Linked DNA regions of Rattus norvegicus. The protein of the gene in region 1 interacts with the protein of each later gene in a pairwise test. Links are inferred from orthologs where the notes say so. Each region holds a gene or a part of one and is shown in the gene's direction. Other genes may lie near its edges. The genes, in order: Tceanc, Atxn1, Obi1, Ssna1, Rad54b, Csrnp1 and Pnma1.

Region 1 (3,041 bases):
CTCCAGTTCACTCTACCTGGGATGAGGCCCTAGCATTGCTTGATTTAGTTTTTGTTGACTTCCCTGGATGGTTCTGCTACACAGCCAGAAGTAAAAACTACCTGTGGTGATAACATGAAGCTATGTTTAGGGAGCTGTTGGAGCAAAGGCATACCTGTGAAATGGGGCCATGCCTGTGTGTGGTTGAGAGTGGTCAAGGCAGAGAGCCAGCCTGAGGTGTTATTCATCACTTCCACTCAGAGGCTCCATCCCATGGGTGGAGGGGATGGTCTCGGTCTGTCTGTCTCTTCTCTTCTCTTCTCTCTCTCTCTCTCTCTCTCTCTCTCTCTCTCTCTCTCTCTCTCTCTCTCACACACACACACACACACACACACAAGTTAATGAAGCCAAACTCTGCAAGGAAAACCATCTGTAACTCCAGTTCTAGGGGGCTCTGATACTTTCTTCTGGCTTCCACAGGTACTAGGTGGTACACATACATATAGACAGACAGGGAAAACATCCATACACATAAAATTACAAAAAAAAGAAAAGAATTTCCTTCAAAATTAATAAAGAAGACCCTATAATAGGAGAATTTCAAAAAAATACATATATATGGCATATGAATTTGTATAAAGGGAATGCTGGCATTATTTTTCACAACTTTTCTGTAAATCTAAAAGTATTTCCAAATAAAGAATAAGCAGGGCATCTGTATGTGACTCTGTTTTTCCAACAGCTCAAATGTCAGCACATTGAATCCTGTTGGATTTCAGGGTTCACTAGACCTGCTTCCCAACCTTTAATGCCCGTTTCTTTACATTGGTTCAGCCATTAACATCCCTCTTTTTTGTTTTGTTTCCTTTTTATACTAAAAAAGTACCACTACAAAGATTATAAAGCCATTAAGTATCTTAGTTCCTAGCTGATTATGAGAAGAAAATAGCTGAGTATTTGCTCAGCTTTGTCTTATGGAGGGATGCTCATGTGAACATGATTTTATACCCAAGATGATCATCACATTCTACCCAAGATTAGGCAGGGTCTCATGCATTCCAGACTAGCCTCAACTTTTCTGTGTGTGTCTAAAGATGGCAGTATATCCCTATTCCTGCTGACTCTACCCCACAAGTGCTAAGATTGCAAGCATATACCACCATGATAGCTTCCTGAATATTCTTAATCTAGATAGATACTGATTTGTACAGTTGGAGGTAGGAAAGTTATAGCTGATATTCTACAAAGTCTTTGAATGTTCTGCTTAAACTTTGCTGCGCCATTTTCCTTCTGTTGTTGAGAATAAAAGTCTTGAGAGTTGAGTAGTTCACATTACTGCGGTATCTACTTAGAGTACTCCTTCAGAAAACATCACATGAACAGCTGGCAGAAGTTCTAGTTTACTATTCAGCAGCTGCCGCTGGTAAAGGCAAGCTTAGAAAGATTGAACCATCTTTTTCTTTTTTTTTCTTTGCAGCTGTGAAAATGTCTGACAAGAACCAGATCATTGCCAGGGCTTCCTTGATTGAGCAACTGGTGTCTAAAAGGTATTTTGAGGATATTGGTAAACAGCTTACTGAGCTAGAAATGATTTATGTGTCTAAGGAGCATCTGCAGGAGACAGATGTGGTCAGAGCTGTTTACAGAGTCCTCAAAAACTGCCCATCAGTGACTTTAAAAAAGAAGGCCAAGTGTCTGCTGGCAAAGTGGAGAGGTTTCTATAAGAATACACACTTCAAAACAAGGGAAAGCCTTAAAGTACTCCATACAGATGTTAATAAGGAAGTAAGTGTTGCAGTTTCTCAGGATGAAAGCCAAGATGAGACACCAGGCTCTAGCCACAATGAGATATTGGGTCTCTGTAGTTCTCTCTCTAGGCTGTCACCCCAAGATGCTGCAAAGGCTGCTGCAGCATTTGGGTCTGAAAGTAGTGCTGCTCAAATGGAAATTAATGAAGGCTATTTGGAGGATGACTCTGAATCTCCGAGCAAGAGCTCAGGTGTGCTAGATAATCCCTTAGTGTCTGTGAGATCTAAGTGCATAGAACTTCTCTATAAAGCCTTAGCTAGTTCTTGCACAGATCACACAAAAGTTCACTTTTGGCAAAACTTAGCAAGACAAATTGAAGAGCACATTTTTACTCTTCATTCAAACGATATCAAAAAATATAAAAATAATATTCGAAGCAAAGTTGCCAATTTGAACAACCCCAGAAATTCTCATTTACAACAAAATTTGCTCTCTGGAACCATATCTGCAAGGGAATTTGCTGAAATGACTGTACTGGACATGGCAAACCAGGAGCTGAAGCAGTTGAGAGCTTCCTATATAGAATCCAGTATTCAGGAACATCACCTTCCCCAAATAGTTGATGGCACACACACAAATAAAATTAAGTGTAGGCGCTGTGATAAATACAACTGCACAGTCACTGTAATTGCCAGAGGAACACTTTTCCTTCCAAGTTGGGTGCAGAATTCAAACCCAGATGAACAAATGACCTATGTCATTTGTAATGAATGTGGGGAGCAGTGGTACCATAACGACTGGGTGTGCTTGTGATTTGTTAATAATCTTTTCAAGGACATATGTTTTAAATATAAAACATAACCTTCTGTGCTCGTTTTTCAACAAAATCTGAATCTTATTTTTGCCTTCGGGAGTTTGGTTTGTGAAAGACGTCAGTATATAGCCCAAGCTGGTCCATTCTCAGGAGTGCTTGCTTTACACCACACCTGCTTAATGCACTGTTCTTACTACAGTACTAAACCAAGGAGGGAGAGTTGTTTGCCAATGTGTAGGCCATAGAAGGCTATCACATTGTACTTTGTGGCCACTTAAGACTTGACTCAGAGTGGCACTGTGGCTCAACACAGCCTGAGAGCATGTTAGAGATGAAGACTCTTGCCTGGTGCTCCTTGAATCCTGATCTGTATTTTGGCAGAGTCTCCAAGTGATCCTCTGGGATACTTTGAGAATCACTGTGGTTCTCAGGAGTGACTATATATTAGAATTTTCTGAGAAGCATTGAAATGTACTGGTGCCAAGAGCCAAGCCCAGTG
Region 2 (4,275 bases), on another chromosome or scaffold:
ACACACACACACACACACACACACGGCATTTCTTTTTTAACTTCTGAAGTGCGGGCTCCACAATACAGTAGTTTAAAAGCTCACACGTTTCTCTCGGTGACTCTGTACGCTGCTTCAGATAGTGACTAACTGTTAGGTCCTACGTAAACTGAGCCAAAAGGTCTCTCAAATCCAGCTACAGTCAATAGTAGTGGCTTCCAGCGAGACCAAGGGATCAAGTTTCCAGACTCTTAGTTTTAAGCACCTGAAAGAGGTCAGATGCTGGCCTGACACCTACTGGTCTTCAAGAATTATCTGCAGCAAAGAGATCGCCACACCGAGCGACCCTCCTGGGGAGGTGCGGGCTCTTCCTTCGGATGCCACACCTGTTGGCAAGGTGCACTCCTCCGGAGAAGATTCCTTCCCACGGAGCTCACACCCGGCTGAGGTGTAGCCGGAGGGGGCGGGTGGGGACTCCGCGTCTGCGTTTAGCCACCGGGCCAAGGTGGGAAGTTCTTTCGCCTTGGATTCCCGAGAACCACCATCCACTGCTCAGTGCACGGGTTACCTCACTTGAGATGAGATGAATGGTCCACAGTTAGCTGTGAGGAGTGAGCAGCAGTTCGGTTACCAGGGCTAGAGCTGAGACGTTCGATGCTCATAGCAGATTTCTAGACCAGCAGAATTTGAAAGGAGGCCCAGGAGGTCGCCAGCTTGTCCAGGCAGGAAAGGTGAGGGTGCCGGTGCAAGCTGGGGAAGCCTGAGAACTTTCCGGAGTTGCAAGCCAAGGCAGAAGGCACCGGCCTAGCATCGGGTGGCTCAGGACTGGCGGGCTGGCTAGTTAACCGCGGGGATACAAAGAGTCCTCTTAGATGCTCACCAGGGGCACCCTGGGTGCTTCGTAATTAGAATCAGCCGACTTCCCCGCCCCCTTGGGTATTTTACCAGGTGGGAGTCAAAGCCTGACACCCGTTGCTCTGAGTCTCCCAGGTTGCCTGAGTTGCACCCTGCACTCACCCTGTCCCCCTCCAACTAGGTTGCAGGGAGCCGGGGAGGCGCGCGAGCACCGATCGGTCACCACTCCAATGACCTCATCGCCCCAACTTCCCCGCCCCTTTCTCAAACCTGGAAGGCACAGTTCCCTCCGGTCGGTGTCCGGGATCTGGAGTCGCAGTTGCGGAGAGACACCCGGCCTCCCCTGGAGCGAGCGCTGCCCCAGCCCGGGTGCATAGAAGGGTTAAGGGCGCGGGCCGGCAGCCGCGCCGTGCGCTCGCCGTGCTCTGTGCGGCTCGCCGGGCCGCCTGCCAGAGGGTGCCTCTCCCCCCCCCCCCCCCCATGAAGTCGGATCCTTGAGCTGCGGCGGCGGCAGCCAACTGCTCCATATTTGGCTTCTATTACACATTTACATACTGGAGCGAGCGAGCGAGCGCGAGAGAGAGCGCGAGGGAGGGAGGGCGGGCGGAGGGAGGAGGGAGGGGAGGGGGGAGGAGGAGGAGGAGGAGAGAGCAGAGTATACCGCAGACATCATTTCTACTACAGTGGAGGAGCCGTACAGGACCTGTTTCACTGCAGGGGGATCCAAAACAAGCCCCGTGGAGCCGCAGCTAGAGCTACAACAGCCGCAGGACACTGTGTCTCTCCCTCTGTTCCCCCTTCCCCACGCAACCCCAGATCCATTTACACTTTACAGTAAGTGGCTATTTTTTTTCCTCCTCTGATTCTTTCTCTCCCCCCTCCCCCTCCCCCCGATTTAGATTAAAATCACCTCCTCCCGCACCCCAATCCGCTCTCTCCGGAGAGGGGGCCAAAGAAACATCCAGCATAAAACCCCCCTCCCCCAGTCTCAATGGGCTGCACGGAAAACAGCTGGAAGAGGAGCGAAGGAAACCGACGCGTCGTGGTGTGTGTGTGTGTGTGTGTGTGTGTGTGTGTGTGTGTGTGTGTGTGTGTGTGTGTGTGTGGTGTGTGTGCAGGCGCGCGCGAGTGTATGTGTGACTGTGTACATACACCAGTGCCCGGCTCCTGCCTCCCGGCTCGGGACCCCCACTGGGAGCAGGAGCGGCTAGCAAGGGGAGCAGCTAGGGGCTGGGTGGGCGGCCGCCAGGAGAGGGGGCGCGCCCGGGCGGGGGGCGCGGGTGGGGAGAACGGCGGCGCCCCGCTCCGGCTGCTGCTGGTCCGGCGGCGGCGAGCGCATAGAGCCCCGTCCTCCTCCTTCCGTGTGGCGTAGGGGGAGGCGGCAGCCGCGGAGGGTCGCGCTGCCCTCTTCACTCCTCAACAGCCCCCCTCCCGAGTGGGGGCGGCGAGCGCTGCGGGGGCTCGAGGGAGGGCTGGGCTTCCCCGCCCGGGGTCGCCTAGCTTGAGAGAGGCAACCCCGAGCTTGGGGTCTCCCCGCCCAGGCCAGCGTCTCGGGGCCAGGAGGGGACCTAGAGGGGACTTGCAGGAGGCTCGGGGGCGCGGAGAGGTGGCGGCTCAGGGGGCAAGGGCACGCGGGCCATCGCAGCGCAGTGGGAGAGGCGACAGGGACCGGCCCTAGCTGCAGCCGCCACCGCCGCCCTGTTGGTGCGGCCGCTTCCTGATCCAAAGCAGCAGCAGCAGCAGCGGCAGCCGCCGCCACCGGAGCTGGAGCCGGGAGCCGGGAGCCGGGAGCCCGCGAGCGCCCCAGCTCGGCCCGGCGTCCCTGCCGGCGCCCGCGGCAGTAGCGGAGGAGCTGCGGGCGCTGCCCTGCGCCGGGACTGCTCTCCTGCGCGGCGGCAGGGAGGGTGAATGAAGACGGGAGGAGGGGAAGGAGGAGGCGGCGGCGGAGGAGGCGCTGCGGGGATTGGGATGTGCCCCGGAGCCCCGCGGCTCGTTCACTCGGGGCCCGAGACGCCGCCACTGCCCGGGCTGCCGCCGCCGCCGCCGCCTCCTACGTGGTTGCAGCCGAGCGCGCAGGCCAGTCCCGCAGGGGGTAGGGAAGGGGCCGGACGGGCGGAGCGAGAGGTGAGGCGGGGTCGGAGAGCAGGGAGTAAGTGCGTGTGAGTGTGTAGGTGCGTGTGTGTGTGTGTGTGTGTGTGTGTGTGTGTGTGTGTGTGTGTGTGTGTGTGTGCGTGCGCGTGTGTTCGCGCGCCGGGCGGGGGGCCAGGACCATCGCGATGGGGAGTGGGGTCCACAGTGGTCCCTTAGCTGACTCTGCAGCCCTTCGACCTCTCTTTAGCCACCTCCTTCAACTCTGTGGCTTGTGAGCTTTCATTTTATTTCAGACCACGTAGAGAGCTGACTGCAAGCGGTGAAACAATTCAGGTTTTCTAGAGAGATTGAGCAAGGACCTTAGTGGTGGGGGGTGGAAGTAGGGTGCTGGTCTAGACTCTACCAGGGGCGCCGGGTGGGGGTGGGGGGCGGGGTGGGAGAATCAGGGTTCTAAGACGAAAGGGTTTAGTTCGATCCCGTGGCTGTCCTGTTTTGTTTTTGCTTTCTTGCTGTATAATCCTACAGATAAGAGGGTAATATAAATACTTGGGAAGGTTGGGAAATTGTTGAAGAGTAGTAAGGGCGGAAAAAAAAAGAGCCAGTCGGAAGCTGGTTATATAATGCGCTATGTGGCTAACAAGAAAGGCAAGCTATTTTTATTTTGTTTACCGTATGTTGTGCAGTAGGAACTCCTCCAAACTGGTTCTGTCCCCGAAGAGATTTCTTAGTTTGTCAGAGAGAGAGTCACAGGATACAATTAGTAAAATTAGAAGACCCCACACCACCTACAGAAGAAAAAGTAATGCTTTAGAGCTCTCACCTCACATCCTGCCTGGCATGCAGGGGAATGTGTGTATGTCCTATGTTTCCCTGTAGCAATCTAGTGGTGTCATCTCAGTGACATTTCTGTTTTATAATGCGAGCTCTTCTTAATATTTAAACAGCATTGCTATAGATCGTAGGCAACAAGGTAGTTACAGGCTGGGTATTTTTAGGTACAGCTGGTTACTTTTTGCAAGAGTGTTTGCTAAACCATTTCTGTGTGGCTTTTTGAAGAGCCCTGTCATTCCTAGAAGCCCTCGTTAAGCCTAAACCTCTGGTTTATTGATGGTGGGTGGGTAGCTGAGACAGTTTGATAGCCGAGGGTTTTATTTTTATTTTTATTTTATTTTTGAATGAAGCTTATGCCAGCGGAAGCTAGAGGTAGCCACCAGAGAGAGGAAAAACATGCACAAGCCCTCTTGGAAAGGGATTGCACCATAACAGCTTAACTGTGGCATTTAATCTCCTCTGATTGTCCTCTAACTGGCCACGCATCAGTCAATATTTTAGCAGCTTTGCAAATAAGTG
Region 3 (3,500 bases), on another chromosome or scaffold:
TTTTTGGTTTTTTTGGTTTGTTTTATTTTGGTTTGTTTGTTTGTTTGTTTGCTATAATCCTGCTAACTACAAAGGCAGTAAGCCCAGGATTAGTTCAGAACTCTCTGAAATAATTCATATTGAATGTGTTTCTTACAAGTCAGGGTACAAAGCTAATGCTGAGAGTCAGTCCATTGTAACTGGTCATCAAAACCTGTGACAGTTGTGTCACCAGTACCCAGACTTGTTCTTGTTTTAATTTCCTGGTTGGTGTGTGTGTGTGTACACACACACACCAATCTTGTATAGTCTGTTTAAATATAAATATAGTGATTGGCTTTCTTGTTTAACAGTTGTTTTTAGGTTTGCTATATTCAAGATTGGTAACTTAGCCCTACGTAGCCCTTTCTTCCATTGACTTTGTTATGCTGTGATGCAAGTGCAATATGTTTTCCTGAAGGTATTTCTTAGACTGCTGGCTAATGGAGTCTCCTCAGGGTTAAGGAAGGGAAAGGCCCAAATGACCCCAAAGTCCCTGTCTTTTGCACTCAATCAGGAATCTTTCTTTCCATTTCTATCACAGACAGACAATTCCCCCTAATTTTAGATCACTACAACTACTTATGAAGTTTTCTGAAACATATTGTCCACCTATGGCTACTTACAGACTCCTGTTTAATGTTTACTAAGGAAAAACAGAAGTGTAGCCCCTGAAGTAAAAGCAGAACACCCCGAGTCTGAATGTGCTGCTTCCGCTCCTGTTTGAAACTCCTCTCACGGCCTAATTTGGCATTAATGTTTTTAAACCTTAATTGGCTCCACATTATCTTTAACTGGACCAGCGCTCCAACCTCACTCGTGTAAACTTTATTTCTGGGGTTATCGGGGAAGCTTTGTAACACAGTATGAGAAAAGAAAAGGGCTGATGTCCATTGTGCCCAAACAAAGCCACAGTGAGATTTTCCTGTGCAGGAGGAACCAGTGAGAGCGAGCCCATGCTGAGCCACACTGTGAGAAGGCACCTGCGCAGGACCCGGCTGGAGTTGCTCCACAGGGAGTATGAGGTGAGTGTGCCCGCGCCGCCTTGCTCGAGGTCCCCTCAGGAGCTGGAGGTAGGGCTGCTCTAAGTGTCTGCACAGCGAGAGCCAAGAACTAGGAAACTGTGTGGGTCCCCTCAGGTCCTTTCTTGGGGGACTGGGTTGGCATCAGGGATTGTTTGGTTTTTGAGGGCCTTGTGATTCTCCTGCCTCTGCTCTCTAAGTGCTCAGATTACACACGTTCACCACCATGCCCGGTCTGAAGCCTGCAGTGCCAGTCTACACAGATTTGATTAATTCTCCCTTTTCTCTTTTAAATAGAGGAATGATTTTATTTAAGTAAAGAATGAGAGACTAGGATTTCAGAGAAAAGAAAGGAATGGAAAACTTTTTTCTTTCTTTTCTTTAGAATTAATTTTTAATTTATGCTTCTTGTCTTTGCGTATGTTTTGTTTGCATGTGTGCCTATGCACCAGTTGAGTACCAGGTGCTCAAGGCCAGGAGAGGGGGTTGTGTCCCCTGGAACTGGAGTTACAGCTTGTTGTGAGCTACCTCAGTTGCCTCAGACAGCTTTTTTTTCTGCTGGAGTATAAGTGATGGAGTAAATGTTCTTCCCTGCATGTGCTTTCCACAGTGACGAGTGTGTAAATGCATGCGTGTTTATTCACCACTGTATCAGTTTAAAGAGCACAGCTGCTTATGCTGGGTGGAGTGGCACACACCCTCAACTCCAGTGCTTGGGAGGAAGGCGCAGGCAGGTCTCTGGGAATCCCAGGTCTACCTACTGAGTTCAAGGACAGACAGGACTACAGAGAACACGGCGCTCTAGTTGTACGCCCCCTTTAATGGCACAATGGCAGCTGCATTTCAGCAGGAGATGGGGCGGGCATTCAGACAAGCCCTGACATTTGGAGTAACTTAGATTTTATTTTCTGATAGACTCTTTAAGTCTCAGATTAAGGTGCTGTGTTCATTATAGATGCATAAATGGTATTACACAGAAGAATCTATCCCAAATATTTGCAATTGCATTCAAGAACAGCAGCTCCAGAGTAGAATAGCAGATTTTGGAATAGCTCTGACTAGTGGTTGAAGACCCACTGTTGGTATTAATCTGGGATGAAAAGAGGAAGGATTTTATTTCTACTTCAGATATAGAAGCAAAAAGAAAAATATCAAACAAAATTCTGATTGACTCTTTTGACCAACACTTTAAAATTTCTCTCTATAAAGTAATTAACATGCTTGAAATGTTCCTTATGAATTGGAATCTACTTTTTATTGAAATTCATGTTTTTTCATAGTTTCTTGATGAAACCTTACACAAAATTAAAGGATTGTAACTTTTTTTTTTAAACCAGAGCTGTCTGTGAATTAAAATGTAAGCATTTTAAGTAAGTGTTGTGCCAATGTTTGTGAGGGTCAACATACATTTTAAGAATCTAAATTGAGGGGGCTGGAGAGATGGCTCAGTAGTTAAGAGCCCCGACTGCTCTTCCAGAGGTCCTGAGTTCAATTCCCAGCAACCACATGGTGGCTCACAACCATCTGTAATGGGATCGGATGCCCTCTTCTGGTGTGTCTGAAGACAGCTACAGTGTACTTATATATAATAAATGAATAAATCTTTAAAAAAATCTAAATTGAACAAAACTTTTACTATATATAAATCCCCATGTATTTATAAAAATTTGAGTGTAATAGTCAAGAACAAATCGAGTCTGGCTTAGCATGTACAAGCCATTCATCTGTATCTGATTATTGACTTCTGCACTTTTTTAGGATGAAATAGATTGTTTGCAGAAAGAGGTAGAAGAACTTAAAAGTAAAAATCTCAGCTTGGAGTCACAGATCAAGACCATTCTGGATCCTTTAGCCTTGATGCAGGGCAGTCAAAACGAAGACAAACATCCAATGGCCGATAATCCAAGTAAAATTGACCCAGAATCAGTAGTAGAATGGAAGAAAAAACTCAGAACAGCCAATGAAATATATGAAAAAGTTAAAGATGATGTGGATAAGTTAAAAGAGGTAAGTTGTAGTCTGGGGAGGGGAATCAATTGTGATTATTTTTAGTTCTATAATATTTTAAGCACTTTCACAAGTATAAATAGCCGCCTGACTCACCATTAGCTAGTTTGCGAGAGCAGGACTGAGCCGTGGGTAATTATTGGTATGCAGCAGGAGGACGGATTCTCGTTAGCTGTCATTAGCGGCCAGGAAGCATGGGGTGGATGCATCTGTGACTATAACTGCAGATACAGTAGTTGCCTCCACACCAAAGTGGAGGAGCTGTGTCTGTCGAAAGGACAGGGAGCTCCCCTTCTCTGTGCTCTCTGCCTTATGTGCATTAACAATCATGATCCATTACTACTTAGCAAAGAAACACGTGTTTGCTTGAGTTTTGAGGCAAGTTCTTACTATATAGCCCAGGCTTGTCTGGACCTAGATATGGAGCCCAAGCTGGCCTCAAACTAGCCACCC
Region 4 (3,110 bases), on another chromosome or scaffold:
AGTTTATTAGCTCTATTCAGAGATCTTTTTAAAGAAACTGAGGCATGGCCAGGAAGCAGTACTTACAGGACCTGGCTGAGCTGGTTGAACTGCTCCAGGGCCTGCCGGCACCAGCACTGCTGCTTGTCACTGCCACATCCTGCACACAGAGGGCTCTGCAAAAGTCGGTAGTACCTGCGGCGGGCATACCGGCTGTCCAGCTCTCCCTCTAGTTCTGGATCTGTGCCCCCTTCTCCTTTTCTCTTGCTCTGCATATAGACTCTCAGGAAACGACCATAGAGGCGCTGGACCATCTCCTGGAATGTCCTAGGGGTGGAAAAAAACAGGACTCCCCGCAACATAGTGTGAACTTTCTCCCGAAGACCCTGAGCTCCAGCGCCCATCAGCAAGCCCAGACGAGTCCATTTCTCTAGGAGTTCTAGGCTATGCAGATAGGGATCCAAGCGGCTTTCCAGCAGACCGAACGCATCCAGGAGCAGCACAAGGCATTGGGGTTCATCGACAGAGTTTTCGCGAAGGGAGATGGCATTCCAGAACTCCGTGGCAATGTTGCCTTGAAGGTCATTCTGCAGCACTTCCACGAACCACTCCTCCAGGACAGAGTGCAGACCGTGGGCCCTCAGAACTTCTACCGCTGCACGAAGCTCTTCCTCCTTTGGTGGAACTGCACCGCTGGTCCGGGAAGATGCCTGGAGCACGGAAAACCGTGAGCAGAGGGGCGGAACAGGGGTAAAAGGAGAGGAGGGGTGTGGAAAAAAACAGCAGCCGAAGGGCTGCCAGGAAACCAAACAAATCAGATAGCTGAGGAAGGAGGCAAGCCCACTACGGGCAGAGCACGGGAGCTATGAGGACCCAAGGATGGACTCCCTAAAGGACAAAGTCGTGGCAACTCTGCACAGGCCCGCCAACCTTTCCCCGGCCTCACCAGCCCCAGCGCAGCCGGCGGCACCAGACCGGTGCTCACAGTATTCCAGGCAACCACGAGCTCCTGTCCAGGCCTAGAGTCGCAGTCATCCGTGGCGACAATTGTCGTTGTCGCCGCCGCCGCCGCCGCCACCGATACCGCCACACCCTCGGCCTCCATCACTGTCCACAAAACAGACCCGCCCAGCGTAGCGCACGGTGATGACGCAAGCGCGGGCTGTGGCGCAGTCGTGACGTTCGCTTGCTCGCGCGCGCTGTGTAGGCAGTGCGCAGGCGCGGGCTTGGCGGTGCAGGCGGCGGTTGAGGCTTACGGACGCGGTGCCGACCATGACCCAACAGGGCGCGGCGCTGCAGAACTACAACAACGAGTTGGTCAAGTGTGAGCGTCGGGCGCTGAAGGCCGCGGGGCCGGGGGCCGGCCAACCCACACACTCGGGAGGCTGCGTCGACATGCCTCACGAGCTCCGCTCTGCGGCCTCCCCTCTGTCGTGCTGGTCGGGGTCCGAAGTTCACGAGCCCCAACCTACAGCTCTGTCTTCCCGCCCACCCTAGGCATCGAAGAGTTGTGTCAGAAACGAGAGGAGCTGTGCCGGCAGATCCAGCAGGAGGAGGACGAAAAGCAGCGGCTACAGAATGAGGTGAGGCAGCTCACGGAGAAATTGGCCCGCGTCAACGAGAACCTGGCGCGCAAGATCGCCTCTCGCAACGAGTTTGACCGGACCATTGCGGAGACAGAGGCCGCCTACCTCAAGGTGGGGCTCTCAGATATGCGTTGTCAGTGCCTCACTACCATCTGAGGCTAGGTAGGGCCCATTGTGGTTCAGAGGCTGTAGGCCGGACAGTGGGCTGTTTGTGGGATCCAAGAGAGTGAGCAGTGGTGTGCTGGACAGAGTACCATAGTGGTGGGTGAACTAACTCAGCCTGGCTTTGCAGGGTGGAAGAGCTCTGGGACAGGTGCAGGAGGGAGGATAATTTTATTGCCCCCACCATCCTCCATAACCCGTTGACTCAGCACAGATGGCCAGACTGAGATTCCCATCCTCCACTATCAGAGGCTGAGGCAGTGGGAATCTTCTTACCAGAGAAATAACATCCTTCTATTTCTCTGGCCCCAGATCCTGGAGAGCTCTCAGACTCTGCTTAGTGTACTCAAAAGAGAAGCTGGGAACCTGACTAAAGCCACGGCTTCAGACCAGAAGAGTAGTGGAGGCAAAGACAGCTGACAAGCCCTGTCTCAGCCGTGGCCTATGGCTGCTCCCCAACATGTCTGTCCTAAAGCATCTTTGTTCTCCATGGCCTCAGATGTCTTTTATCTCTGGTGCCCTGAGTGTCAATTTCTGACCTCCACCTGCCTTGAGTGACAAGACAAGCCCCAGGACAGTCCAATGGAAGATGTGTTCCCAGCTCCGCACTCACATGTGTTATTGGAACCTTGAGCTCCTGGTCAGCTCCATGAGGAGCCTCTTTCTGAAGCTCCTGTATCTCCTTGGGCTGCCAGGAATGTCTCGGTCCTAGTCCAGGTACTGTGGGAGCCCCTCACTTTGTCTCCTCAGCCACTAGGGCCCCAGGCCAGGCATATTGAAGAAAGAATCTTGGCTCCAGAACCAAAACCTTAGGGCCCATCCCCATGACCTCTGGTGTTTCAATAAAGGTTGTTTTGCAAGATCTGTGGCATGGCCTGCCAGCTACCATGTGTCCTGTTGGTAGGAGGAAGACCTGCAGCTTTTCCCTGACTCTCCTATCTTCAGAGCACAGAGCTAAAAGTTCTCACCTCACTCAGGTCAGCCCTAGCCTGGAACTTTCCTTGAAAAGCTGCTGCTGATATTTCCCCAAGTTCAGCACACAAACTACTATTCTGTGAGGGGCTTTGCTGTACAATGGTACTCAATACAGAGCCTGGCTCAGAGATAGAGACAGGGACAGTTCATCTCTCAGTACAAAGTTCTGTTTGGTCCAATACACTGCTGCTGCCAGGACCCATCTCCCAACCACATTGTTGCTTACTTCCTGTTTCCATGTGCCCTATGACCCAGCCCTTTGCACAGCTTCTGGGGAAGTTTGGAAGTATTTGTTGACCAAGAAGATCCAGAAAACAGCTGTGGTAGTTTTCACCTATCATCCCTTCGTTGAGGAAGAAGCCTTAAGTTCAAGGCTATTCAAGTGAGCATAGTAAACTGTAAACCAGT
Region 5 (3,500 bases), on another chromosome or scaffold:
TTGAGTTAGCAAAATTGCATTGGTTAGAAATAATGGATATGCTAGCCATGGTGGTGACACATGCCTTAATCCCAGCACTTGAGAGACAGAGGCAGGTAGATCTCTGAGAGATCAAGGCCAGCCTGGTCTACAAAGTAAGTTCTAGGATAGCTAGGGCTATTCAGAGAAACTCTTTCTTGAAAAACAAACAAAGTTTTATAATTTGTGGCCACACAGAATATGGAGGATATTATGTAAGTGAAATAAGCAACTGTAGGATTTCATTTGTATGTAATATCTATAAATGTTAAGTGAAAGGCAGAACATGGCAGCCACCAGGGAGGGGATGGGGTGGGATATGGGGGAGGTGTCAGTTAAGACATAATGTTTAAGTTGTACAACACGATATGTATAAATTTGTCAAATAAAATAAATGAAGGAAAAATAGAACTTTTTAATCTGAAAAAAAGAAAAAACTCTGTAAGCATATTTTTTACTCAGCTTGCCATGTTAATTAAAGCAGTCATTAAAATATAATTTTACATATTTCTAGACATTGGAATAGTAGCTTTAATTTCTAAGGTCCCAAGGTTTTTACAGTGATATGTTACACTATTTCAGTTGAATGTGTGTAGCTTATGGGTGACAGAGCATTGCACTCATTACACTCATGATAATGCTTGCACCCAGTATGTCGACTGCTCAGTTTCTTAAATACCAAAATGAACATGTCACATACTGAGTTGATTCTCTCCTACCACGTGTGTTCCTGGGACCAAACCACTTGTCAGGCTTAACAGTGGGCGCCTTTACTCCCTGAACCGGCCCACTGACCCAGATACTTTTATATTCTTTCTTAATGCATTCTGATTTCCTTGTGCATATAGTCATTATTGTTGTTATTATTATAGACAGACTCTTCAGACAGCATAGGTGTGACCTTGAACTGATCCTCTTGCCCCTACCGCCAGCATTCTGGGATTGCTGGTGGAACCCATGCCGTGGTATTGGTGTGCCGATTTGCTTTTGTTTGAATGAGCTTGATACTTAGAAATTAGTCATCCCCAATAATAATGTTTTAAATTTCCTTTTTATTTCAGTTCACTTGGCCTCTAAAGAAATCATAGAGTCCAAGGCACAAGAAGAGGAAGCTAGCAGCTTGCTTAAATATTTCAGTGTCGTTTGGTGTAAAGCTTCAAAGAAAAAACACAAGAAATGGGAAGGCGATGCTATTCTTATTGTAAAAGGAAGGTCGTTCATATTGAAAGATATGGAAGGAAAAGATATTGGAAGAGGTATTATGATATATGTTATTCGTATTTATGATTTGGTCAAAATATTAGTATATTTTTGGTGCCGTACAATTGAAACACAGTTGGGCTTGATAAAGGGACAGATTGAGATGTTATTTAATTGAATGTTGTGCCTCAACTTTGTATGATACATAATGTTTTTCATAATAGTGACCCAAATACTCTTATGAGCTATGCTAGTCCATTAGGGTACATTCTGTCCAGTTTTCTCTGAAGGGAGCCCACCAGCCTTAGCGGTCTTAGCACTCTTCTGAGACTGAGGCGTTTGTCTTGGTCATCCCCTCCCCCAGTGCTAAGTGATTGAAATTGTTAAGAGTGGCCATTAGTAGACATTTAGTGCTGTCCAGTTTCAGTACTACTCAATAAAAATTTCAAATACAGAATAAGGAGATCCACACAGCTAAGTTGGAGGGTGCCATTGTTTCAGAGTAACGTGTCCTAGTACAGAGCAGTCTGCAGGTCCAGAGTGTGTCACATGAGTGTTTTTATTTTGTCCTCTATTGTTTAGTTTTGAGTTTGGCCAGACTATAAAATCTTTTGTATATATTCGTTCACTCACGTAAGGATATAGTTTATAGTTTGTTTAATTTTCAGCTTATATGCTAGCTCCTAGGACTAAAGATTCAAAGTAAGAATAATTTATAGCTTTGTTAGGAGAAGTTACTGTAACTGATAGTTGGAAGTGGTGAGATAACTGTTTCAGTGAGAATTCCTGCTAGCTGGAATGTGACAGGGCCAGCTTTTCCATTGCTGCAACCAGGGAGGGCCAGCTGTGTTCAGCCCTCCAACATCAACTGGGTCACAGGCGACACCTCGGCCACAGTCATCTGTGTGACCTTTGGTAACATGGGCAGTGGATATGGACACAGACCCCTGCTGCTGCAGGCTGTGGATCCAGACATGGCCCTCGGCAGTAGGCCAGGACCCCACCATGGCCTCAGGGTGTTCCTCACCACCCTTGCATCCCCAGCCCCTTCTTTCTGTCTGCATTGTGCACATATCATTTTGCTTCTGTTTCCCTCCACCTCTGATTTTCCCACCTCTGGTACCTGGGGCCTCTGGGTGTCTTCTACCCCTCCATGACTTATAGCATGGTTAGGGGGCAGAGGTGGAGTAGGAATGGGTTTGGGGGGAGGTGGGGGGTGTTGTCTCAGTTGGGTTAATTTCTTAAATACTTTAAAAAACTTATCTACTTATTTATTTATCTCTTTTGTGTGTATGGGGGAGACCACACATGTGCAGTGGTGTATGTATGTGTGGAGGGAGGTTAGAAGACAACTTTTGGGAGTTGGCAAACTCTGGGCTAGCTTGCCCTAGAACTTTCAAGCAATTCTCCTGTTCCAGATTTTTCATCTTACCATAGGAGTGCTGGGAAGTGGGTGTGAGAGAGTTACTTCTTAGTTAAAAAGTACATATTGCTCTTCCCTTGACCTCAGTTGACTTTCCAGCACCTACATAGGTGCATATATTGTTTATATATAAGTAAATAATAAATCTTATAAAAAGTGCTGATATTATAGACACTACTGAATTAAAAAATATTTAGCTTTTTATTTATTTTTTTAATTTTATTTTTCTTGGATATTTTATGTATTTATATTTCAAATGTTATTCCCCTTTCCCCCTCACCCATAATCCCTCCCCACTCCCCCTGCTTCTATGAGGATGCTCCTATTCCCACTCACCCCCTCCCACCTCAGTGCCCTGGCATCCCCTACACTGGGGAAACAAGCTTCACAGGACCAAGGGCCTCTCCTCCTATTGGTACCAGACAATGCCGTCCTCTGCTACATGCAGTTGGAGCCATGGGTCCCTCCATGTGTGCTCTTTGGTTGGTGGTTTAATCCCTGGGAGCTTTGGGGGTCTGGTTGGTTGATGTTCTTCCTATGGGTTGCAAACACCTTCAGCTCCTTCAGTCCTTTCTCTAACTCCTCCATTCGGGGTACATTTGGCTTTTTAGTTTTGGGAATTAAACTTGAGTCATTAGGCTCGCTCACCTGGCATGTTGAGCTATTTTCTGGCTTTTTTTAAAAAAATCAGAATGATAAATTGTGTTTCTGTCTGATGAAATTTATATGTAATTTATATGCAGTGCATAATGTTTATTTTGTACAGTCATGGAAAGGTGGCTATTTTATTAATAAGTTTTCTTAGAATGTCAGTACAATTAATTGTTTCTGTTTTTCTTAAAGGCATTGGATATAAATT
Region 6 (4,271 bases), on another chromosome or scaffold:
TGTCTTTTTTTTCCCTCCATCTCCCCCACCCCCCATGCATTAGGCTGCAGTGGTGACAGGATGTTTAGGGGCTACCTGTCAACTTGTGTGTAAGAGTGTGTCTGTGGTAAGAGTGCTTGTGCACGTGTGTGTGGTGCCTGGTTCACGACCAAACACCCTCATCCTGGGAGAGTCTACAGGTTAACTGGGCTGTTTGTGTTTGTGGTTTGACACTGGGAAGCCTGGTAACCTAGCCTGAGAAACTGCCCCGGAAACACCTGCTTGGCCTCCCCCCCCCCCGGGGGGGGGGCTGGCCTGGTAGTAAGATTTTTCTTGAGCCTCTCCCATGTCTGCCTGGAGGAGATGGCTGTCACTCTCCCATGAGTGCTTTTATCCAGGGAGTTGTAGCTGGTGCCCTCGGATTTAGGACCTGCCAGAGGCTTGGACTAGGAGAGGGGACCTCAGGCTACCTCAGTGGAGGAGACCCAGACAGCTTTCTGCTTGGTTTCCCTGCCTCTTTCACTTCCCGTGATGATGGTGGGGGAAGGGTCCCAGCTGTGGGCATTCAACCCTGAATGAGTGAGTACCACAGACTCAAGCCAGCCTCACGGCAGGTAGCTGCACTCAGCCACCATCCTTGAACCCTCTGAGGGTCCCCAAGTCCTGGAAAGACTGTTACTTGTCCAAGCACTGGAGGGTTAGGGAAGGAGCCTGACTGGTGAGTGATTGCATCCTGGGGGGGTGGGGGTGTCCAGAGAAGCTACAAACGAGCAAGGGAAACAGGAGAGTGGAGAGCCACCTTCCTAGTCAGTTTCACTCTGAGGTTCTGCTTTGTTCTAAGGAGAATTAACCATAGAGGTTAGATATTGGAGGTGAGTTTAAGATCAAAGTCAAGTCTTCCCACAGTCCAGCCTAGAGCAGGGGACTTTTCTCCTGTGGCATGGGGGTTTCTGAGGGAAAATCTAAGCTCCATCTAGGGGGGAGGAGCTTGGGAAAGTCCTTCTGCTGGGAATGGAGCCAACATCAAAACCAGCGCCCATTCTCAGAGCTCCTGCCCAGCCTGGCCCAGGAGTGTGGACCCGAAGCTGTCAGTCAGCAAGGCGGTGGACCTGTGTGGTCAGAGAGGAGCGCTGCCCTTAGAGGGGGCCTCTGGAGATTGCAGAAGGCCCTGCACAGGCAAGTGCACAAAGATCTGAGCGCCTGTGAGTCAGCCTCCAGGGTTCCTGTGAAGATGAGCCAGGCCAGAGTTCTGTCAGTCCATCTGTTGGTCTGTCTGCCTGCTGGCGTGTGTGTGCGTGTGTGTGCTCGAGTGTGTGTGTGTGTGTGTGTGTGTGTGTGTGTGTGTAGGTGGCAATGGGGAAGGTACCTGGCTGTTTTCCATAGAAGACTTGTTATCAAGGGGCCAGGTCTTGGGAGGCCAAAGTCCCTGGGATTTGGATTTGCATGTTAGACTCATTTGAGGGAGGGGCTCATGTTAGACTCATTTGGGGCTGGAGACTGTACTGGAGACACTACCATGAACCCGGGCTGGAGGGTTCAGAGTCTGGGAGATACCCTGGAAGGTAAGTTGCGGGTGGAGAAAACATGGCTAGGCTGGGAGCCTACCACGGAACAGTTCCATCCTCTTCATTCCAGGCCGTCTGTCCTCAGCTGCTTGGAACCCCTACATCCCACCATGGCTGGGATACAGAAGAGGAAGTTTGACCAGCTGGAAGAGGACGACTGCAGCTCCTCCTCCTTGTCCTCTGGCGATCTCTCTCCCTCTCCTCCCAGCTCTTCTGCCTCCCCTGCCTGGACCTCTGAGGAGGAGGGACTGGGTGATCAGCCACCCCAGCCTGATCAGGACTCCAGTGGCATCCAGAGTTTAATGCGTGAGTCTCCTGTCCTGGGCACCCCCTACCACGCACCCCCCACCCCTAGCCCCCACCCCCTGCTTCTTCCTTCCCTAAGGCTGTAATTGGCCTTTTTGGCCTCCATAGCCCCCTCAGGGTACCTCCTTCTGTGAAGTCTTATGACTGTCCCACTCTGCAGAGGCACTTTGACTTCCTGTTGACTGTGGGGGTTGTGCTGTCGGAGATGTTGTTCCCTGAGTGGCTCTGGGGCCTTTCCAGGGGTGTTGCATCTCTGTTTCCCAACATACCTGCCCCTTCCAGGAAGCCCGCTGGGGCTCATCCTTCTCCTCACACACCCCACGAACACTGTACACTGGCCTGCTAGGCCACTTCCCTCTTCCTTGCTTTTTAGCTTTTTTCCCCCCCGAATGTCCCCAAAAGGGTTTTTCCTGAATAGTTTTCTTTTCACCCTTTATCTTATCTTATTTTAAGTTAAAAAAAAAAAAAGACTCTCTCTTCCAACCGCATGGCATCTGCCTCCGGAGTACAGGGGTTACGGATGCGCTCCGCTCCATCATGGCTGACTTCCTAGTTATCTTTCAAGCTTGTATAATTTTGATTTCAAACTGAAAGTGATTCTCTTTAAAAAAGGGTTTTTTTATTTTTGAAATTATAATTACACCATTTCCCCTATCCTTCCCTCTAAACCTTCCCATATATCTGTCCTTACCCTCTTTCCAACTCATGGTCTCTTTTTTATTATTGTTACATAAATATATAGAAATATATTTCTAAATATTGTACAAACCTGCCTTGTCTTTATAATGTAAAAACAGCCTTTGGGGCTGGAGAGATGACTCAATGGTTAAGGGCACTGGCTGCTCTTCCAGAGGTCCTGAGTTCAAATCCCAGCAACCACATGGTGGCTCACAACCATCTGTAATGGGATCTGATGCCCTCTTCTGGTGTGTCTGAAGACAGCAACAGAGTACTCAACATGCATAAAATAAATAATAAATCTTAAAAAAAAAAAAAAGACAGCCTTTGATTTTCAACAAGCTCTTTCTACTTCAAGAACCATTTTAAACAGTTTTCCCCTACAAGGGGAATGTTTTTAAGCACATCTCCCTGTGAAGTTTTGAAACCATAACTGTTCTGTTCATGTCTTATATGCATACCTGTGTGTTACACTTTTTTTTTGAAACAAGTGTGATTTTGTTAATGCCTGGAACCTAATATTACAAACAGAAAACCTTGTAGAAGGAATTTCCTCAGGTAGTTGAGTACAAAGTTAATATGTTAACTTGAAGTCACTCAGCATAGTGGCAAACACCTATATTCCCAGTACTGGGGAAGGGCTAGGGACTCAGTGTCTCCTGCTATAGAACCAGTCCTAGCCATCTTGAGATAAATGATGATGTATGCCTTTAATTCCAGTTCTTGAGAGACAAAACCTGGTGGGTCAAGGCCAATCTGGTCTACGTATCAAGTTCTAGGACAGTCTGTGTTATACAGTGAGACCCTGTCTCAAGAGAACGTAAACACGGGCCAAGATGGCACCGGAGAATCCTGCTCTTGCAGAGGACCTGAGTTTGGTCCTTCTCACCCACATCAGATCACTGACAACCACCTGTAGCTCCTAGTACTTGGGATCTGGCACTTTCTGAACTTCAAGAGCACCCACACCCAGGTGACATACACTCGCACACGCACTTAGTAAATTTGAGCCTGGGCAGTGGTGGCACATGGCCTTTAATCCCAGCACTCAGGAGGCAGAGGTGGGCAGATCTCTGAGTTCAAGGCCAGCCTGGTCTACAGAGTTAGTTCCAGAACAGCAGAGGCTACACAGAGAAACCCTGTCTTGGGGGGGGGGGGGAATCATGTACAAAAATAAGTTTGGAAACAACAACAACAATTAATGCCACTGGGGTGGCTCAACATGTAAAGGTGCTCTCGGCCAAGCCTGATGTTGGGTTCCTGAGTTCAAACCCACATGGTGGGAGAACCAGGTCCTACAACTTGTTATCCATATAATCAATAATTTCAGAGAGGGAGACAGACAGACAGATAGACAGACACATTCTGGGTCTGTTGCGGAACATTTAAAGTATAAAGGAAAAGGTCTATAATGTATGTCTATAGTGTATGAGTATTTTGCCTGTATATCCATGTACCACATGCATGTTATACCTGAGCAGGCCAGAAGAGGGCGTTAGATCTCCTGAAACTGAGTTCCTTGGCTGCGACCTCTCCTATGGGCACCAGGGCTCTTAACTGCGAGTCATTTCTCCAGTTCTTTGTTATACATTTAAACAGGGGATTATATTGTCTTTGCTACATGTAAAGAATTAAAATGAAAGAAAACTGTACAAAGGATTTATAAATTCATGGTCATGATAGCAAGATGCTTCCTCTTTGAATGCAGTTCTCTGGTCTGGTAGATGATAAGCCCGGGTTGGC
Region 7 (3,723 bases), on another chromosome or scaffold:
TGCCTATATTTAACTGCCTCAGTCACCTAACCTCTTTCTTCTCATGTGCCAGATGTTAAAGATGGAGGGGAAGAGTACAACACATACTCCAGCCTCAGCTGTTTAAGTGTTTTTATTGGGGCTCACTTTTCTGGGTTGTTATTTATTACTAGACTGGCAAAGCCTAAACCCTTAGGTTTTTACAGGAAGTATGCATATTTTTATAAAAAAAACAGTTGTGTCTAACCCACATTTGGCTGTGTTTGTTTCCTCAAAAAAAAAATTTGCAGCTGTTAGAGCTCTTCTTCATTTGTCTCTTAAATTAAAGGCCTTGTTGGAGAGGACAGCACAGAAACAGCCTTGACTGTAATTATTGTACAGATATTTTAATAGCATAAAGTAAGTATATTCCTTTTATTTTGAAACAAAATGGTCAGACACTGCCTTTCATGTGTTTGTTGCCTGTGGCACTCTTTTTAAAAAAGACTGTTACATATTAAATAGTGTACATATATATAAATATTACCTCTTTGTGTACAGTTGTGATAGACCAGACCGAAAATTTTATTTTTTGTGTGCTTTTTATAAAAAAAATTAATACACTAAAGAGAATCTTGCGGATGTGATTGTAATGTACCCATGTAACTTATTTACTTTTGAATGTTCTGTATCTTAAGACCTTTTATTAAATAAGGTTTTAAAAAAGTCATTGTTGAATGCCATGTTCTTATAGGGGTGTTTTTGCCAGCTGGGACTGACTGATAGGGAACTTCTCCCTTTCTGAGCCTTAAGCGGTCTGTTTTGCTATCCTGTATACTCAGTAAGGACAAGAAGTTTGCTTGGCTACAAAGAGAAGTAATCCGGTGGGGGGGAGGGTGTGCACACACACACAAACTTTAGGTTTTGACACACACACACACACACACACACACACACACACACACACACACAAATTTTGGACAAGAAAGCCAAGTCAGACACTCAAAGGAACCAGTAGGTGGAATCCTCTTTTCTAGTCTTATGGGGAGGAACGGAGAAGCTGCAGACTGTAATCTGGTGGTTCACGGAAGTCAGATTTAGTGTTTTCACAGCAGAGTGAATGCATAGAATGGATATGAGACAAGTCCGTCGTGGTAGATGCGTATCAATAAGGCCAACTTAAATCCACAGCAAAATTAAATAAAACAAAACATGCTTAGCAATATTGTTAAGGAGGAATCTGGGAAGTACGAGTATGGGGGAGGGGTAAAAAGAAATGCACCATCATAGAATAGACTACTCAAACCCCTTCTTGGCACCATAGCAACCGCCAGATCCTCTGGAGCCCGCGCATCTCGCGTCGTCATGGACACAGTTGTCACGGTGACACTGGGGGAGGCGAGCGGACCGGTTCCGCCCTCCAGTGCAGCTGCACGGAGGCCGTTGCTGGAGCGCGCGGCCATAAGCGCTGAGCAGAGCTGCCTCCAGCCCGGTTCCTCCCTCCTTCGCGCTTCCTGCCGCCTCAGTCCCCGGTGCTTCGAGTGCCGCCTCTCTCGGTGTAGCTGAGCCACGGCCTCGAGTAACCCTCGGCCGCCCGCGGGCCAGGGAGAGGTGGGAGGAGCTGCCACGCCCCGCGACCGCACCCAGTCATCTCCAGCCCGCAGCCAACCGCCTTGAGCCCACCTTCCTCCCCTTCTCAAAGCAGTGACGCAAGGCACAGCCGCAGCCAGTCCACTCCTGCCCGGACCAAAAGGGCGACATTCGAGTGATAGGCGGAGTGTCCCGTGGCACTGACTTGGGACCCGGAAGGGACCAGAAGGAACTCTGGTGTCTTTTGGTAATTGTGGTTGCTTGAAGCTTGTCGCCCCCTGGCCTACCGGGGGAGGAGAGCATGTTGTCCTAAGCCCAACAGCAGCACCGTGAGCCAGTCCAAGCACAGTCTGTAGAACTGGCACTCTTAATAGTTGGGCGAAATGGCTATGACACTATTGGAAGACTGGTGCAGGGGAATGGATGTGAACTCTCAGAGAGCTCTGTTGGTCTGGGGGATCCCTGTGAACTGTGATGAGACCGAAATCGAAGAGACCCTCCAAGCTGCGATGCCCCAGGTATCCTATCGAGTACTGGGGAGAATGTTCTGGAGGGAAGAAAATGCGAAAGCAGCCTTGTTAGAGCTCACTGGGACGGTGGATTACTCCCTGATCCCCAGGGAGATGCCAGGCAAAGGAGGGCTCTGGAAAGTAGTGTTTAAGCCCCCCACTTCCGACGCGGAGTTTTTGGAAAGGCTGCACCTCTTTCTAGCTAGGGAAGGGTGGACGGTGCAAGATGTTGCTCGTGTGCTTGGGTTTCAGAACCCTGCTCCAGCCCCAGGCCCGGAAATGCCAGCAGAGATGCTCAACTATATTTTGGATAATGTTATTCAACCTCTTGTTGAGTCCATATGGTATAAGAAGCTGACTTTGTTCTCCGGGAGGGACATTCCCGGGCCTGGCGAGGAGACCTTTGATTCCTGGCTGGAGCACTCGAATGAAGTCATAGAGGAATGGCAGGTGTCTGATATAGAAAAGAGACGGCGGTTGATGGAGAGTTTGCGAGGCCCGGCTGCCGATGTCATTCGCATCCTCAAGACCAACAACCCTGCTATAACCACGGCAGAATGCCTGAAGGCTCTTGAGCAGGTGTTTGGGAGCGTGGAGAGCTCTAGAGATGCACAGGTCAGATTTCTGAACACTTACCAAAACCCAGGAGAAAAGTTATCTTCTTACGTTATCCGTCTGGAGCCTCTGCTGCAAAAGGTAGTGGACAAGGGGGCCATTGATAAAGATAACGTGAACCAGGCTCGCCTGGAACAGGTCATCGCTGGGGCCAACCACAGCGGGGCCCTCCGAAGGCAGTTGTGGCTGACTGGGGCTACAGAAGGGCCTGCACCCAACCTCTTCCAGTTACTGGTGCAGATTCGAGAGGAGGAAGCCAAAGAGGAGGAGGAGGAGGCCGAGGCTGCCCTTTTGCAGCTAGGCCTAGAGGGGCACTTCTGAATCCCAGGACTGGCCAGGCTGCTTTTGATATTCCTGTGAAGTTTTAGTAAGCCTGTCCCTTAAAGTAAACAGCCAGCCTCCTCCTGCCTTTGTTTTGTTTTCTGAGGAATGGGATGAGAAAGTCAGGCCCGCATATTCCTGTAGCATTCACAGAATTGTGTAATTAGCAGGAGTAAAGGCGGTTCATAGTGCTACAGTGATGCCAGCCCTCCTGGTGACATCTCTGACAGCTGTGAGAAACATGAAGCTGCGATCCTTCCTGTCACGATGTTTGTGAAACTGCAAGTTCTGATGCTAAGTACATGCCCGGTTCACAGGCTGTACACTACAAACTCTTGTATTTATTTGTTACTAACACTGTGGACAGCTTTACTGTAAATTGTTGCTAATTTGTATCCATGGAAAGAATGCGACTTTTAGATATTACTCATCTTGAAAATGCAGATTTCTAATTCCTCGTGGCTCAACACTGGAATCAGTTTCCCTGAAAAGTATCCCCAGATTAGAAGTGGCGGGTTAGAAAGATGTGTTTTTATAGAGTGCACAATAAATCCTTCACAGTGGAAGATACAGATGTAAGTCATAGGGGGAATGGCCCTGGACAAGCTACACTTCCTCACTTCAAATATTTGTCATTATTGGTCATATTGATGCTAAGGGTTCTAAGTTTGAAGTTATTGAATAGATGGATACAAAAAAAATTTGAAAATTCTCTTTTTTCCTGACATGC

The links.
Region 2: the proteins of Tceanc (region 1) and Atxn1 interact in binary tests that used the Homo sapiens proteins (3 or more experiments, as listed by UniProt). The link is inferred for Rattus norvegicus from reciprocal best matches to the Homo sapiens genes TCEANC and ATXN1.
Region 3: the proteins of Tceanc (region 1) and Obi1 interact in binary tests that used the Homo sapiens proteins (3 or more experiments, as listed by UniProt). The two-hybrid records come from large-scale screens. The link is inferred for Rattus norvegicus from reciprocal best matches to the Homo sapiens genes TCEANC and OBI1.
Region 4: the proteins of Tceanc (region 1) and Ssna1 interact in binary tests that used the Homo sapiens proteins (3 or more experiments, as listed by UniProt). The two-hybrid records come from large-scale screens. The link is inferred for Rattus norvegicus from reciprocal best matches to the Homo sapiens genes TCEANC and SSNA1.
Region 5: the proteins of Tceanc (region 1) and Rad54b interact in a two-hybrid assay, tested with the Homo sapiens proteins (2 studies listed by BioGRID). The two-hybrid records come from large-scale screens. The link is inferred for Rattus norvegicus from reciprocal best matches to the Homo sapiens genes TCEANC and RAD54B.
Region 6: the proteins of Tceanc (region 1) and Csrnp1 interact in binary tests that used the Homo sapiens proteins (3 or more experiments, as listed by UniProt). The two-hybrid records come from large-scale screens. The link is inferred for Rattus norvegicus from reciprocal best matches to the Homo sapiens genes TCEANC and CSRNP1.
Region 7: the proteins of Tceanc (region 1) and Pnma1 interact in binary tests that used the Homo sapiens proteins (3 or more experiments, as listed by UniProt). The two-hybrid records come from large-scale screens. The link is inferred for Rattus norvegicus from reciprocal best matches to the Homo sapiens genes TCEANC and PNMA1.

Annotation. Positions count from the first base shown.
Region 1 is NC_086039.1:31,587,849-31,590,889, forward strand, and holds Tceanc (transcription elongation factor A N-terminal and central domain-containing protein), read left to right. Parts: upstream 1-1,464; coding exon 1,465-2,541; downstream 2,542-3,041.
Region 2 is NC_086035.1:18,942,294-18,946,568, forward strand, and holds the start of Atxn1 (ataxin-1), read left to right. Parts: upstream 1-1,475; 5' UTR 1,476-1,668; intron 1,669-1,725; exon of another isoform or gene 1,726-1,879; intron 1,880-2,816; exon of another isoform or gene 2,817-2,958; intron 2,959-2,994; exon of another isoform or gene 2,995-3,196; intron 3,197-3,356; exon of another isoform or gene 3,357-4,275. UniProt on the Homo sapiens protein: Chromatin-binding factor that repress Notch signaling in the absence of Notch intracellular domain by acting as a CBF1 corepressor. Binds to the HEY promoter and might assist, along with NCOR2, RBPJ-mediated repression. Binds RNA in vitro.
Region 3 is NC_086033.1:87,706,343-87,709,842, reverse strand, and holds part of Obi1 (ORC ubiquitin ligase 1), read left to right. Parts: intron 1-951; coding exon 952-1,043; intron 1,044-2,798; coding exon 2,799-3,047; intron 3,048-3,500. UniProt on the Homo sapiens protein: E3 ubiquitin ligase essential for DNA replication origin activation during S phase.
Region 4 is NC_086021.1:28,482,607-28,485,716, reverse strand, and holds Ssna1 (microtubule nucleation factor SSNA1), read left to right. Parts: upstream 1-1,145; 5' UTR 1,146-1,251; coding exon 1,252-1,303; intron 1,304-1,476; coding exon 1,477-1,676; intron 1,677-2,039; coding exon 2,040-2,147; 3' UTR 2,148-2,610; downstream 2,611-3,110. Other genes in the region: Anapc2 (anaphase-promoting complex subunit 2), read right to left, coding at 67-689, 926-1,084. UniProt on the Homo sapiens protein: Microtubule-binding protein which stabilizes dynamic microtubules by slowing growth and shrinkage at both plus and minus ends and serves as a sensor of microtubule damage, protecting microtubules from the microtubule-severing enzyme SPAST.
Region 5 is NC_086023.1:29,867,465-29,870,964, forward strand, and holds part of Rad54b (fibrinogen silencer-binding protein), read left to right. Parts: intron 1-1,079; coding exon 1,080-1,274; intron 1,275-3,484; coding exon 3,485-3,500. UniProt on the Homo sapiens protein: Involved in DNA repair and mitotic recombination. May play an active role in recombination processes in concert with other members of the RAD52 epistasis group.
Region 6 is NC_086026.1:128,585,670-128,589,940, reverse strand, and holds the start of Csrnp1 (cysteine/serine-rich nuclear protein 1), read left to right. Parts: upstream 1-1,471; 5' UTR 1,472-1,541; intron 1,542-1,614; coding exon of another isoform or gene 1,615-1,654; coding exon 1,655-1,850; intron 1,851-4,271. UniProt on the Homo sapiens protein: Binds to the consensus sequence 5'-AGAGTG-3' and has transcriptional activator activity. May have a tumor-suppressor function. May play a role in apoptosis.
Region 7 is NC_086024.1:109,512,882-109,516,604, reverse strand, and holds Pnma1 (paraneoplastic antigen Ma1 homolog), read left to right. Parts: upstream 1-1,437; 5' UTR 1,438-1,931; coding exon 1,932-2,993; 3' UTR 2,994-3,223; downstream 3,224-3,723.